Danio rerio: one gene and its partners. The protein of the gene in region 1 purifies or fractionates together with the protein of each later gene. This does not show direct contact. Links are inferred from orthologs where the notes say so. Each region holds a gene or a part of one and is shown in the gene's direction. Other genes may lie near its edges. The genes, in order: snrpa1, phf5a, prpf19 and u2surp.

Region 1 (4,062 bases):
CCCAACCCGCTCTGAGCTGGTATTGAGCCGGCGACTTTCCACATGGGAGTCGGTTGCTCTAACAAAGTGGCTAAAGGCCATGGCCCCTAGCGGCCATTGCTAGAGCACCTTTAGTGGTCAGAGGAGTGAGGTTTACCTGCACAGCACTAGCTGGCCTCCGTTACACAAACAGCATGCTAGCTCATACTAGAAACATGCTAGCAATCTGCTATTTTATAATATACATGGAAACATGTTAGTTAACATGCTTCATACTAAATTATGCTATAACATGCTTATTTATAAAAACATGCTAATAAGCTAAGTTTATCTATCTATCTATCTATCTATCTATCTATCTATCTATCTGTCTGTCTGTCTGTCTATCTGTCTTTCTGTCTGTCTGTCTCTCTGTCTGTCTGTCTGTCTATCTGTCTATCTGTCTATCTGTTTGTATATCTATCTATCTATCTATCTATCTATCTATCTATCTATCTATCTATCTATCTATCTATCTGTCTATCTGTCTATCTATCTATCTATCTATCTATCTATCTATCTATCTATCTATCTATCTATCTATCTATCTATCTATCTGTCTGTCTGTCTGTCTGTCTGTCTGTCTGTCTGTCTGTCTCTCTCTGTCTGTCTGTCTGTCTGTCTATCTGTCTGTATATCTGTCTGTCTGTCTATCTATCTATCTATCTATCTATCTATCTATCTATCTATCTATCTATCTATCTATCTATCTATCTATCTATCTATCTATCTATCTATCTATCTATCTGTCTGTCTGTCTGTCTGTCTGTCTGTCTGTCTGTCTGTCTGTCTGTCTGTCTGTCTGTCTGTCTATCTCTATCTATCTATCTATCTATCTATCTATCTATCTATCTATCTATCTATCTATCTATCTATCTATCTATCTGTCTGTCTGTCTGTCTGTCTGTCTGTCTGTCTGTCTGTCTATCTATCTATCTATCTATCTATCTATCTATCTATCTATCTATCTATCTATCTATCTATCTGTCTGTCTATTTATCAAAACATATGGTATTATTTGCTTAAATCCTTGTGCTTTATGAAAATACAACGATTTTTAAAAAGGTAACATATGCAAAATCTTGGCGGGACGGCTTTATTTTTCAATCCACACTTCCTCCTCCGTCCCGGTAGGCGGCGGAAATCGCTTCTCCAGTCCGCCTGGTGTCGCTGTAACCGCTCAACAAGCGCGGTGTTTTGTTTTTTGTCTCGAGAAGAACTAAACAGATACTTCCGTTTGGCGGCAGCGTGTACGAATGTTACACGTTCACAATAAACTTTTGACCAAACACAGTTTTCTCCGCTTAGACTAGTTTCTCTTGTTTTTCTTTGGTCTCTGCGGCGGACATGGTGAAGCTGACGGCGGAGTTGATCGAGCAGGCGGCGCAGTACACGAACCCTGTGCGGGACAGAGAGCTGGATCTGCGCGGTGAGTTAAAACACAACATTATCACAAAACAAATGCAGTCTGAGGGGTATAGTTGTGCTAATTATAGCTGCATAACATTAATAAAAGTCTAAACGTGCGATATATTGATTCATATAACCTAATATATAATATGTCCTAATAATTCTGGAGGGCTGACTTCAAATGGATAACTGTGTGTGTGTGTGTGTGTGTGTGTATGTATATATATATATATATATATATGTATATATATCTATCTATATATATATATATATATATATATATATATATATATGGTTACACTCTCAGTAATGATTAAATCACACTGAACTGAGCTAAATTGAACTGAACTGAACTTAAACACTAAAAACTGAACTACACTGTTCCAGTTACTATGACCATGTATGTGAAGCTGCTTTGACACAATCTACATTGTAAAAGCGCTATACAAACAAAGCTGAATTGAATTGAACTATATGGTTAAACTTTGAAGTGAATATAAATCTCATTTGTCTGTTTTGCAGGCTATAAAATCCCTGTGCTAGAGAATCTGGGCGCCACTCTGGATCAGTTTGATACCATCGATCTGTCGGATAATGAGGTCAGAAAACTGGATGGGTTTCCGCTGCTGAAGAGACTCAAAACGCTGCTGGTGAACAACAACAGAATCTGGTGAGAGAAGCAGACTGATGTGTTCATATATTGTCTGGTATAAAACAATACCACGCTACTCTGCAGTGAGTATTTCTTGTGAACTGTTACGTGTTTATGATGTTAAATAATAAAAGGGATGATACGTAACAATCAGTGAGTCTATTGATGCTGGGTGAATGAGGAGAAGACGCATATGCTTGATAAGTGAAACAAAAAAGTATTTATTAATGGATAATTTCAAACAATGAATGTAAGATAGAAGATAAATGTAATTTTTAAATAATTGAATCAACTAAAGAAAAATAGGAGTGTTGCCAAAACAAAGAAATAAATATAACAAAATAAACTAACTAAACCCCAACCCACTAAACTGACTGAACAAAGAAAAATGTAGAAACAAAACCGTAATCTTCAGCACGTAGCTTAACTAAACTTCTTAACTTCCGTACACATGTGGCAACGCCTCCAAAAACTAACTAATACAAAATTTTACTAAGCTGCTCGAAATGCTATTATTCTCGTAAAGTACACACTGTTAGCCATTAGCAAAACAAGATCTCAGGTAATCCAATTCTCATACAGATTGTTCAAAATCTCACTAAACATTCACAAGAGCAGCACAAGTTTAACTGATAAATCAGGATAAACGGAGAAAACTAGAAAATAGCACTCGCAAACAAATCAAGCGGATCAATCAAACAAACAGTCCGGCCGACACAAGTGAGGAGATTGGCAGGCCAAGCGCTCCTCCAGAACAGCGCAAGCGCACCGGTTTTATACTGCACGTGACGAAGGTGAATGACAGCTCACCCGACCAATGGTAGCACACCTGAAACAGGATAGGACCACAACGAGAGAGAGAGAGAGAGAGAGAGGAGCGCAGAGCAGAAAGCAACAAAAATACTACAAAACATACGTGAAACGTAACATGAACACACATTAAAGAGGCACATTAGCTTACTCTTTGATATTGCACACCGTTAATTCACCTTTACACTGTGTCGTAACAACACTTAGAAAATAATAGTTATAAAGTAATACTTTATTCACTTTCCATCAGCTTAGTCCTTTATTTATTAGCAGTCGCCACAACGAAATGAACCGCCAACTATTCCAGCATATGTTTTGCGCAGCGGATGCCCTTCCTGCTGCAACCCAGTACTTGGAAATACCCATACACACTCCTACACTATGGCCAGTTTAGTTTATTCAATTCACCAATAGCGCATGTGTTTGGACTGTGGGGGAAACTGGAGCACCCGGAGGAAACCCACGCAAACGTAGAGAGAACATGCCAATTGGCCCAGCCGGGACTGTGACCAGTGGCTTTCTACCTGTGAGGTGACTGTGCTAACCATTGAGCCACTGTGCCACCTCATAGAGTATTAATAGTTATTAAATAATAATAATATGTATAATTAAATTAATAATAGAAAAGAGTTTCTGTTTCTGCAACCTTGTGGCAAAACAACATAAACTACTGTGACAATGATCACCTCAGGTAAAGATTGTGTTGGCTGCGTTTATCAGCACTATTTTTTCCATTTTCTGAAAGTCTTGATAAGACAGTCATTGGGTGTTTTAATATTTAATGAAATAGTAGGGTTGCAACAACGAATCGATAAAAATCGATTTCTAAAAGCGTTGGCAACGAACTTCATAATCGATTTGTTATGTCGTAATGACACAGGGATTTTGATTATTAAAACCAGTGAATTTACGTGCTGAATCCTGCATGTTCTACTTTTGAGGCAAACGCTCGGCCGCAAGTAAACATGGCTACACCAATCTCACGTTACAGATCACGATCACTTACACGTTTATGTAAATTGGAATATCAGGTAGTTGAGGACATGATGAGCAAGCGTGTGAATATGTTGAATTAAAATGGAAAAATACTAAATAAAAGGGAATACATCTGTCATACGGCACTATTGTGGCTGAGGTGTGTCACATGACGAACATGACGCGTCGCCACGTAA
Region 2 (4,317 bases), on another chromosome or scaffold:
TCTACTGTTAGCTCTTCTCTGAAATATAACACACACACACACACACACACACAGAGAGAGAGAGAGAGAGAGAGAGAGAGATAAAAAATAAATCTTGCAGACATTAGGAATAAAATATTCATAGATAAATTATTTATTGATCGCCTTATTTTAAATACAAAACGTTTTCTTGGAATGGAAGAGTCTATTTTGACTAAATTTTTTGGACTGTTTAATGATATAAAATTGACTCAGAATTTACTACTGAAAGAATATTTCAGTTCATTATTGTATTAAATCCGAAAAGAAGCAAGTAAACATACAACACATGAACAATATAGAAACACACACACGCACACACACACACACACAAATATATATATATATATATATATATATATATATATATAGAGAGAGAGAGAGAGAGAGAGAGAGAGAGAGAGAGAGAGAGAGAGAGAGACATAGATTTACATACACACACACACACACAGTTGAAGTCAGAATTATTAGCCCCCTTTTGATTTTTTTTTTTACTTTTTTAAATATTTCCCAAATGATGTTTAACAGAGCAAGGACATTTTCACAGTATGTTACTGATAATATTTTTTCTTCTGGAGTAAGTCTTATTTGTTTTATTTCGGCTGGAATAAAAGCTAATTTTAATTTTTTTAAAAACATTTTGGGACAAAATTATAAGATTTTTATAAAAAATATAAATAATTATAAATTATACATTATAAATAAATTATAAATATATATTTTTCAATAGTCTACAGAACAAACCATCACTATACAATAACTTACCTAATTACTCTAACCTGCATAGTTAACCTAATTAACCTAGTTAAGCCTTTAAATGTTACTTTAAGCTGTATAGAAGTGTCTCGAAAAATATCTAGTAAAATATTATTTACTGTCATCATTGCAAAGATAAAATAAATCAGTTTTCAGAAATGAGTTATTAAAACTATTCTGTTTAGAAATGTGTTGAAACAATCTTCCCTCCATGGTTTAATAATATTATTCTTACTCAAATTATAGTTATGATTATACCTAGCACACACATGCTACTATTATTATTGAATAGTTTTAGATATAATCTATTATTTATTCTACATTACTGTATAGACTTTGTGCTCCTATATAAATGTCATAATATTCATTACTTTTTATAAACTGTTTTTGTTCACTCAAAAAACTGTAAGAAAAATGAGAATTCCAGCACTATTTTTGATAAAAGAGACACATTTATTTACATCTCTGTTTATACCATAAAATGACACATTTGAGCTTTCTGACTCCTACGTAACTGGAGTTTTTTTACATCATAAAATTGTAATCCGTTAATAAATATTAGCGTTATTGTATTTTATATTTATATTTATACTTGAAATCAGCAGCTCCTCCGGTTATCAGTCTATAAACATTAGGCAAAGAGCATAGAATCTGACTGAATCTGGTGATTGTAAGCTCTTTGCATTAGGTGGCAGTAGGTTGCTGCGCATCTTTTAGACCAAAATATCCGAAGAAGGAAGTTCGGAGGTCAGCGCTGCGTCGACGCTTGCTAGCTTGTTCTCTGCGCTCACTCTTTTATAATGGCAAAACATCACCCAGATTTGATCTTTTGCAGAAAACAGGCTGGAGTTGGTAAGTCTCGTTTTTCATTAGACCTTAAATAATTTCTTTGTTTAATGATCCAACTTGTAGCAAACAATGAGTGAGAATTTACACTCGCGCTACATCAGATGGATGAACAATAAGGTTTCAATCTAAGTGGAGACGGTTCATTTAATCGTGTAACTTTAGTAAGCAGATAAAATAGCAGCCTTACAAAGTCCTCGTATACGATGCTAGTTAGTCAGATATTTGATTGGAAAAATAACGACGTTTAAGTGTTTGTGCGAGCCCATGCAAACGTGCTTTTGTCGTTTGTTTACAGCGTCCTCAGTCGTTGGAGGGCGGAATTGTCATGCAGGCTTTCAGATACTTATAAAGAGAAAGAGATAAAACTTCACTTTACTGACCATCAAGTGGTTACAAAGCTTTGAAGTTTTCTGTTTAGGTCAAACTATGTTTTCGTAGCGTGTTGGGAAATACAATTAAAACAAATGCAGGGTTTCACACAATCCATGTTGTCCCATCTCATATCGCTGAAGTTAACAAAGTGGATTGAACAAAAAACAGTTGTCTTTCACTGGACAACATGACAAAATACCGAGGACCAACATAAAATGTATACAGTTATTTGCATGTTAGTGTCAGACTTTACATTTACAGCCTGAATTGAAGTACTGAAAGATTATTTAGCAGTTTCTTTCCTTGGTATTTATAAAGTCTCAATATTACCTTTACGTCATTTGTTTTGCAACTTTTACGGTTTAAATATGCACGAGTTCATCAATTATACGTCTGTTTAACCTGATTTGACCTTTATTTCTTTTGCAGCCATTGGAAGACTTTGCGAAAAATGTAAGTTTTACTAATTTTCTTTTCATGAACAGTTATCAGTAATTTATTGTTTTAAACCCACAAGGAATTTGTTAATCTTTGTAACACAGCGAGTGATATCACAGAGTTTATCCGCTTCATTAAAGGGATAGTTCACCCAAAAATGAAAATTCTGTCATCATTTACTCAGCCTTTGCTTATTTCAAAAAGCAAATTTTGTTTGAATTTTTTTTTTTTTTCAAACATATTAGATATTTTGAAGAAATCTGTAACCATTGACTTCCATAGTATTTGTTTTTCTACTTTTAAAGTAAATAGTTTCAGTTTTCATCTTTGTTTAAAATATCTCCTTTAGTGTTCAACAGAAGAAAAGAGGCAAGTAAATAGTGAGTAATTTTTCATTTTTGGCTGAACTATTCCTATAACAATGTAAAGAGATCAAAAAAGGATGACAGAATTATTGTTTTGAGGGGGTCATACTGTTATGATTTTATGCTCTTTAACACAAATGTGTATTTTCTTTTCCAGGTGATGGCAAATGTGTGATCTGCGACTCTTATGTCAGACCTTGCACACTGGTTCGTATTTGCGATGAATGCAACTATGGCTCTTACCAAGGACGCTGCGTGATCTGTGGAGGTCCTGGAGTGTCTGATGCCTATTACTGCAAAGAGTGCACCATACAGGAGAAAGACGTGAGTATATCTGCTCTACATTTGCCCAAATTAGTTTTTGACTAAACTGAGAGAGGGCTGGAATAAATATTCCATTCGTCAGTAGTTTGAGTAAACTTCAAACTTCATTATGTGGTTTTAGATGTTTGCATTGTGTTATGTTACTTATTAAAAGGTTGAATTCTCAGTTCAAAAATCCAAATGATTAGAGGTGGGGAACTTTAAGGTCTTCAGCATCCGATTACAATTATAGGAGTTACGATCCCAATCCAAAACATACATTGTTTATTTTTTCGGAAATACATCGATAACAGTGTAATATAATATTAATAATGACTTATATAATAACTGCACACTATGAATCATATAATAAGCATTAGAAAATAGTTAATTCATTCATCATTTAAGGATTAACTCTGCATTATTAAACAATAGTAAGCAGTTAGGCTTACACAATTTTTAGCCTATAATTGAGTCTATTTATTTAACTATTTACTTGTGTAAATGTGTTTTAAATATATATTATTTCAATAATATTATTGACAAATATGCAAATGTTTATGATTTATGTACAATGCAGATAGTAAATTAATAGTTTCTGTCGTTTAGTGGATGTATGCTATGAGAAATTTGCTTTGTTTACTAAACAAGTGGATCTAATTGGATTTGCAAACCTTAAAATAAAAGTACAAAGGGTATTTTTTGATGAATTATGTATTTAATTACTAAATCAATTATATTTCTAAAATTATATTTATAATTTGATTTATATACAATACACATATAATGGCTTAATGATTGTATTTTCAAAATTTGTTAAAAAAAATAAATTCAGTTACAAAATTAAGTGTGGCATTGTTTAACACAATTTAAGATTTAAGTTTTTAGATCAATTTTAATGAGCAAGTAAATTACTAAACTATTTAGACATCTTATTTGTCAGGCATATAGCTACTCTTGTTAATAAATGTTTATTATTAAATCTCTACTGCAATTCAGTAGTAATTTAAGGACGCACTAAACAAAAGCTTGGAATCTCAATCCTTTAAAAATACAATTACAGTGGAATACTGCTTATGTGTGGCTATAGAAAAAAAACATGATGCATCTCAATTAGCATTTAACCATCCTAATCAGTATTAAAAATTGAATTGGTGTATCCCAAATCATAATATGCTAAAATGAGTACTCCCAAAAGTTTGTCAAGTGCAGATCT
Region 3 (3,570 bases), on another chromosome or scaffold:
ATATGGCAATAAATTCAAAATTCTCTCTTTCCATATGTCCTGGTAAAAAAAAATTGCCAAGTAAGCATAAAATTGTTCTAGAAATCCTGTTTTGATCAAATTCTGTGACAGCATCTTTGAAGGCACAGCTATTGGGAAGAAAATGACGTCTGAATCACATTGTGTAAATATCGACTTATATCTTAATCTTAATTGTAAAATCTTAATAAAACTAATACACACTTTTATAGTTATTACCATGTCATATTGTTAGCTGAGAAGCATGCTAACTTTAAACTCTGTTGAATTTAAACTTTTAAAAAAAAATTATTCTCTGTTTAGAAATTAAGATAAAAATCAACAATTTCCACCTCAAAGTTTGACAAATGGAGTTTCTGTCTTAGGCTTGGGCTGGTATAAGATTCTGATGGTATGATAACCTTCACAGTATTATGATTACTCCTCTAAATTGTATTTTTTTAATATCTGGGTAAAAAACTAAAACTTTTCCCCCCTTTGAACACAATATATTTTATGTAAAGAAAGATTTAAAATATTCTGGAACAGTAAACATGTCAGGCTAAGTAATTCAAATAAATCATTGACTTCAGATGTCTTTATTTAGTTTAAAAACACAGATTTCTTTACGATTTAAAATGGGATCTTTGGATCTTTTCTGCTAGAGATACTGTTGTCTTAAAAAAAATGTTACATATACCAAAGGAATGGTATAGCAGAAATTTTTAGCTGGTTTTAAAACTAAAGACTTTTCCAAACTGTGGTATACCTGTGGTAAAACCATTATCCTCCCATGCCTATTCTATGTAAAGTGTTGTGAGTTAGTCTTTCCTTTGATTTAGTTTAGATCGCTGTACAATTTTATTTGAAACATTACATCAAATCAGTTGTTTTGCTCTTTTCAACAGGGTCTTCACAGTGCCAGTGTACCAGGAATCCTCTCTCTGGATCTCTGCCCAACAGACACCAACAAAGTCCTCACCGGTATAATTTCCATTAGTAGTTTGTCAGATGAGTGTTTTGAATGTGTCCTGATTCTTAGAATTTTGTGATGTTACTTACTATTTTGATGAACTGTGTATAATATATCCTTTGTAAGTCCCCCTTTTGGGATGTTACATAAAATGCTGGTAGAAAGCACTTGTGTTGTCACGATACTGAATTGCAGGACCAATTGGTACAGAAATTTTAAAAATGTCCATTTCCCCGCAAACATTTGAGCTCTGTTGAGCATGTACTTAACAACACTCAAATGTTAGTTGGAAATTGAGGTTTTAAACATGTCAGCATCATAACAACACTAGAAAGCACACATTTATGTTTCCAAACCATAAGCATCCCCTAACACAATTCTTGCATGTGTCATCTGCACCCTCTTGGTCACAAATGATTGATCATGCAAGGAAAAATACTGTTGCCCTTTTTTGTTTCTTTTTTTGCAGCTCCTTCCTTTTTGTTGGATTAATTGTGACTGTTTTGCTGAAGTAGAAATAACTAATCTAAAATTAAGATGTAAACAAGGAGAGCTACCACATGGTTCTCTCAAATTAAAACCTCAGTTTGCTACGCTTTCCAGGTGGTGCGGATAAGAACGTGGTGGTGTTTGACCGTCGTGAGGAGCAGATTGTTGCCACCCTCAAAGGACACACCAAAAAGGTCTCATCTGTCATCTACCACCCTGCTCAGGTATGCCATTGCTCTTGTTTTGAATATATAAAATGGTTCCTGGTTTGTATTTAGCTCTCATGTCTCTCCTCTTGTGCTCTTTGTCAGGCGGTGGTGTTCTCAGCATCTTCAGACAGCACTATTAGAGTGTGGTCCGTTACTGGAGGCAACTGTGTGCAAGTGGTCAGGGCCCATGAGTCTGCTGTTACTGGCCTCTCTCTGCACGCTACTGGGGACTATTTACTGAGCTCATCTGAGGACCAGGTAACACACACACACACAATTGTTTTTGTGAATTAAGGGGACATTTTATAGGTTTCCCTTATTTTTACACTGCGCAAACTGTATTTTCTATCACCCTACTCCAACCCTATACCTAAACCTTTTTTTGTAATGTCACTAAATTTAAATGGTCTATTCCAGATGTTGAAGTTATATATTTCTTGTGTGATGCAAGTTGTTTGAAATTTTACTTTCTATTTATATAAAAAAATGCTATGTTTTTTTTATAGCATTGTTTCTCATATTGCAGGTAATACAGAGCAAAAAATTTACTTTTTTGACTTTGTTTTTTTTTTTAAATGTAGTTGCTTTAACTGAGATGCGTGTCAGATGATGTGTTTTGTTGGCATAGCCACTAACCGCCCTGGCATGCCATGAGCTAGTGAAATAAATTGAGTTCATAGCACATTGCTTTCCACATCCATTGTGAAAGCCACTTCACACCTTTCAAATGAGAATCAGCAAACGATGGCCACTTTCTCTTAGAGTGTAAGAAGTTTGTGCAGTGTATGTAGTGTTTTTGATGCGGCCTCTGTGTGTACATTTCCATAGTTACACTTTTCAAGGTTACATTATTTAAACCTCTACATGCATTATTTACTAAAATCTTAAAAAAATTTAAAATAACAGAATTTTGTCTTTGCCATAATTCTTGTCTTGTTTGTTTTTGTTGGCCACAAGTGCTGACGCTTTTGAAGATTTGGGCCAATTTAAGACTATATTTGAGGGAAATATGATTTTAAAGACAATTAAGAAAATTTTTGTAGCTTTGCAATAAAATGTGAATCAAGCATAATTTACAACATTAGCAGTATGCTACACTTACTGGATAAAAGCATTGTCAAAGACTACTTTAGCAGAAACAACCATTTGTCAAATCATGATTTTTTAAAAATTGACATTTTATTTAAAAATAAATAAAATTTCCCCAGAACGAGTGGAAACTGTTGTTGTGGTTTTCCGTTTCACTTCCCATGTAAAAAGAACATGCTTTGTTATTTTTATGGAAGGGAAGTCTCTGTGTAGTTACATTTTTATTCTGTGTAGTTACATTTTTAAATGTTTGTTTTGTAGTACTGGGCCTTCTCCGATATCCAAACTGGACGTGTCCTGACCAAAGTCACTGATGAGACTGCTGGATGTGGTATGTTTTATTATTTTAGCTGCACTGTGTCAGATTTTGAATAAGTGTTTTTTGAATGCTATTTTTATAAGTGTGGAAACTGAAACAAGCTCTCTTTTAGAATTTGTCAAGTTAGGATAAAAATGAAATGTAATGATTTACTTCAAAATATTTCACTCAACATATTTAATACAGGCATTTTGTACATGATTATAAGCCATGTTACAAAAAAAAAAAAGATAGTATTTTTAGGGTAATGACTTCATAAAGTATAAGGAAAAACATTAAAAATTTGATAATAAAATCTTAAAATGTAAAAAAAAAAAAATTCAGTTTGGTACAAAACAGCCAAAAGGACAGCTATGGCCAAGTAGTACTGGTAGGTCTAGTGTTAATTTGTCTCTTCATTTAAAAAGCATTTCTGCCTCATTCTTTCAGCTTTAACCTGTGCACAGTTCCATCCTGATGGTCTGATTTTCGGCACTGGTACGGGCGATTCTCAG
Region 4 (3,570 bases), on another chromosome or scaffold:
TTATACTCTACGCATCGGTTAGTTTGCTTAAATGCGTATGGTGACTTGAGTGAACAGTTCGCGTGGCGCTGCTATTATTTTGAGTTTAATATAAATCGCTTTGAAGAGATTTTGTCTGAAACAGGTACACCTGTACAGACATCTTTATTATCCATCCATGCCTGATAATAGGGGTAACCAGATGGCCAATTGAACCTATCGGTTTATAATATACTGATGTTCTATTTTTGGGGCTTTGTTTTTAATGGTCAGGAATGTTGGGCCATTATTGGCTTTTAGCATGTAAGTAGAGGACACAACCTAGCCAGACAGTAATGTGTGAATTGTGGAGTGGGCTAAATCTAAAAAACCCTCAGTATTTTTTTAGTAAGTATGCTTTTTTTGCTTTTATTATTGCCATAATAAAAAAGCAACCTATGTTATGTTGTTTATTATTTTAATAAACTTAAATTGGTAGAAATTTTGAACGGTTATAAAAATCTTTATAATCATTAAAATGATTGATAAAAAATAGTTAAAGAAGTTGAATTATATTAAAAATATGACATAGTTCAGGAAACTTATTACTCTTCTATTCATCTGTCTGGTTTTTCGGAGGGTTTCCTTGCCTCTGTCATTTTAAAAAATATCTCATCAGCGAATGCGTTAAGTATAAAAGCCTCATCCGTTTTGTGAGGTGCACGCTCATTCAGTGGAGAATCTCAACGCCAGGCGAAAGTATAAGTCAGCCTTAAGACTTCTTATTTGAAAAGATTTTATTTTAAATCAATGCTGGTATTAGTTTTCATGAAGATTTTAAGATTACACAATAGTTTTCTGCTTTGATTAGGTGAAATGTTACATAAACTTTTGAGGTTTTATTTTTCTATAGTACCAAATTCTACTTTTACAAGGAATTATTTTAGATGTCAATGTTACAGCATGCTTTACAGATTGTTCCACACTAGTTTCCAAGAGAGTTTTTATTGACCACACTACATCAGATCTGATGCATTACACCACTCCTAACGTAGAAGCTAAACACTACACAATCATCTAGTGTCAGTTACACAAAATCCAGTCCTCTGGCTATTGCTCACTTCAGCTGCCCTAGTAGCAGGGCACAAAAGCGACGCCTGATCCCCATAGTCTAAGTGACCTTTGACATTGGCCTTGGTGAGCAGCACAAGTTGAACTGTCTGCAGCAGCGAGGGACCAGAAAAGCGTCACAGGATGGATTGGGGAAAGTATACAGAATGATTGCCTGACATTGGTATGATCGGCTCCAATACTTGTGATCTGTGTTTCAGTACATTTTGAAAAACATCATCTGTTGATTTTTATCGGCCACTTCACGAGCCAGTCAGGAAGCCAGTTGTTGTCCCCATCCCTTAACTAGAAGAGCTTACATGATTTTGTCCCTTTCCATTCACACTTGTCTATTGTGAAAAAAAGCAAGAAAGTTCACTTAACACTCGGCCTCACAGTTAGTAGCACAATCAGTTTTAACTTATGAGGGCAGAATGCTATGGCTGAGACTCACATGTGTGTGTATATAGAGAGGATTTAAATGATTTGATTGTTACAAGCTGTCATAACTGGCAGTCAGTTTTAAATCTTAAAAGCTCAAACATCTTTATGGCTCATAGTAAGTGCAAGAATGTTGCATTTCATCAAATGTCATATATAGTAGTGGTTTAGGTGTGGCTGGTGATGGCGCTGAATCTGTTTCGCTTTAACTGTGTTTTTCTCGTAGGAATTTGCTCTCTCTCATCCACCGAATGATCGAGTTTGTGGTGCGTGAGGGCCCTATGTTTGAAGCTATGATCATGAACAGAGAAATCAACAATCCACTCTACAGGTGAGCCTGATTTGAGTGATTCTGGAGGGAATGACATGTCAGAAGAGAGTTAGCATCAAAAAATCACAGCAAAAATTGGACTGTGGTCTGTGCCACTGTTTCTACATGATTGATCTAATCTTGTGGTCTGGATCTTCCATTTGTCAAAGAATCAAACATGACCTTCCTTCACTAAACCTCTAAAATAAAACACCAGAAATGTCATTTTAATCCCCAAATTCATTTTGCATGAAGAAATCACAAACTGTTTGTGTGAATAAAAACTGTGAATAAGATTTTCCCTCATTAATGTGCAGTATTTCATCACTATTTAATCAGTGGGCACCTTTCATTATTTAAAGTAAAGTAGTTTATATTTTCGATTGTTAAATGTACCTGCATATTCATGCAAAGGTTTTAGCAAGACAGTATTCATAAAGGTCAAAACAGCAGATTATTTGTGTGTGCTGGAGTGTGGTGGTGTATAAATGGTTTTATATCTGGTTGGTCAAAATTGACCCTTAAGATTATCTTTGTATCCTACTTTGAAGTCTGTATGTAAAGCCTTCATGAAAATATTAAAATAGCTCTTTTTCCCCCCCCCCCCATTTAATTATGGGTAGACCTGTCACAATGATCAATATATCGACTTATCGCACAACACATGGGCATGACCTCAATCATTTTTGGTGATTTCAACATTTGCAATATAAAAAACTATTCTAGCAACATTTTAGCTGCACAGCCTCTCTATCTCAACAGTGTCAGTATGGATAAAGAAATCACTGTAGTATTTTATTTAATATAAATGACTATATTATATTTTCGTGTGGGTGTCCCACAAGTGAAAATAGATATGGTAGCAGATCTCACAGCCTGTTACTTTCTACCTTGCGCTTTTATTTTATTAACTTTTTTTTAGTTTAGGATATTACGATTGCACATTCTGATGCCAGTGCCTCATAATTGTTAAAACGACAATATGGTATATGCCGAAGCATGCTAATAGGACTTTTAATTTGCCAGTAACCTGGGTTAATCGTTTCCGGTGAATTGTATGCCAATGCAGACTCGGCACATTTAAGGTTTATTTTCTTTAAAAATCAGTGACAAATATCAAATCACTGGCTGAGGGATATCAGATATAAAGTGGGTCTCAGATTGTACAAGAAGCACTGCATTAAATTACATTTTTCCCACCAGAACTTTATAATATGAGCATTTATTTTACCCCATTAATTTTAATGGAGCTTCTGCATTAGCCTGCCGATTCTGACGGGCATGTGCGAGTAAACGGCTTTTTGCCTTGTTTTATGCTTGAGAAACCAAATGAATGCCGAAGTCTGTTTAACGGATTATATTTGAATTACGTTACAACATTGATGCTGTAAAAGAAACCGTATAAAATGGAAAAAAAAAAACTTACAATAACAGGTCACCAGAGGTTTATCAGTATGGGAAACACACTAGCTCGGCATATACCCCATAATGAAATGAAATATTCTTGAAAATAAAATATTATGTATTCTTTGAAAGAGTGTACTTGCTTTATGATGCTATTATATTGGTATTCTGGCATTTTATAATCAGTGGCTTTAAATGGTCTTAAAATGACAATAATGTTTATCGCAATCTTATCATACAATAAAAAATAAATATCGTGACAGGCCTAATGTTGGGGTCATTTTAATATATATTTTTAAACTAACGAAATCAACCCTAACGAAATCAATCAACAATTCCCCCTACAG

The links.
Region 2: the proteins of snrpa1 (region 1) and phf5a purify together in Homo sapiens (affinity purification with mass spectrometry; 4 studies listed by BioGRID and IntAct, with this or other methods). This does not show direct contact. The link is inferred for Danio rerio from reciprocal best matches to the Homo sapiens genes SNRPA1 and PHF5A.
Region 3: the proteins of snrpa1 (region 1) and prpf19 fractionate together in Homo sapiens (co-fractionation; 3 studies listed by BioGRID). This does not show direct contact. The link is inferred for Danio rerio from reciprocal best matches to the Homo sapiens genes SNRPA1 and PRPF19.
Region 4: the proteins of snrpa1 (region 1) and u2surp purify together in Homo sapiens (affinity purification with mass spectrometry; 5 studies listed by BioGRID and IntAct, with this or other methods). This does not show direct contact. The link is inferred for Danio rerio from reciprocal best matches to the Homo sapiens genes SNRPA1 and U2SURP.

What each region holds. Positions count from the first base shown.
Region 1 is NC_133182.1:9,121,793-9,125,854, forward strand, and holds the start of snrpa1 (U2 small nuclear ribonucleoprotein A'), read left to right. Parts: upstream 1-1,228; 5' UTR 1,229-1,365; coding exon 1,366-1,447; intron 1,448-1,950; coding exon 1,951-2,098; intron 2,099-4,062. UniProt on the Homo sapiens protein: Involved in pre-mRNA splicing as component of the spliceosome. Associated with sn-RNP U2, where it contributes to the binding of stem loop IV of U2 snRNA.
Region 2 is NC_133187.1:20,791,585-20,795,901, forward strand, and holds the start of phf5a (PHD finger-like domain-containing protein 5A), read left to right. Parts: upstream 1-1,512; 5' UTR 1,513-1,574; coding exon 1,575-1,626; intron 1,627-2,424; coding exon 2,425-2,448; intron 2,449-2,955; coding exon 2,956-3,122; intron 3,123-4,317.
Region 3 is NC_133189.1:18,668,868-18,672,437, forward strand, and holds part of prpf19 (pre-mRNA-processing factor 19), read left to right. Parts: intron 1-905; coding exon 906-981; intron 982-1,573; coding exon 1,574-1,683; intron 1,684-1,770; coding exon 1,771-1,926; intron 1,927-3,018; coding exon 3,019-3,088; intron 3,089-3,505; coding exon 3,506-3,570. UniProt on the Homo sapiens protein: Ubiquitin-protein ligase which is a core component of several complexes mainly involved pre-mRNA splicing and DNA repair. Required for pre-mRNA splicing as component of the spliceosome.
Region 4 is NC_133177.1:29,971,802-29,975,371, reverse strand, and holds part of u2surp (U2 snRNP-associated SURP motif-containing protein), read left to right. Parts: intron 1-1,735; coding exon 1,736-1,840; intron 1,841-3,570.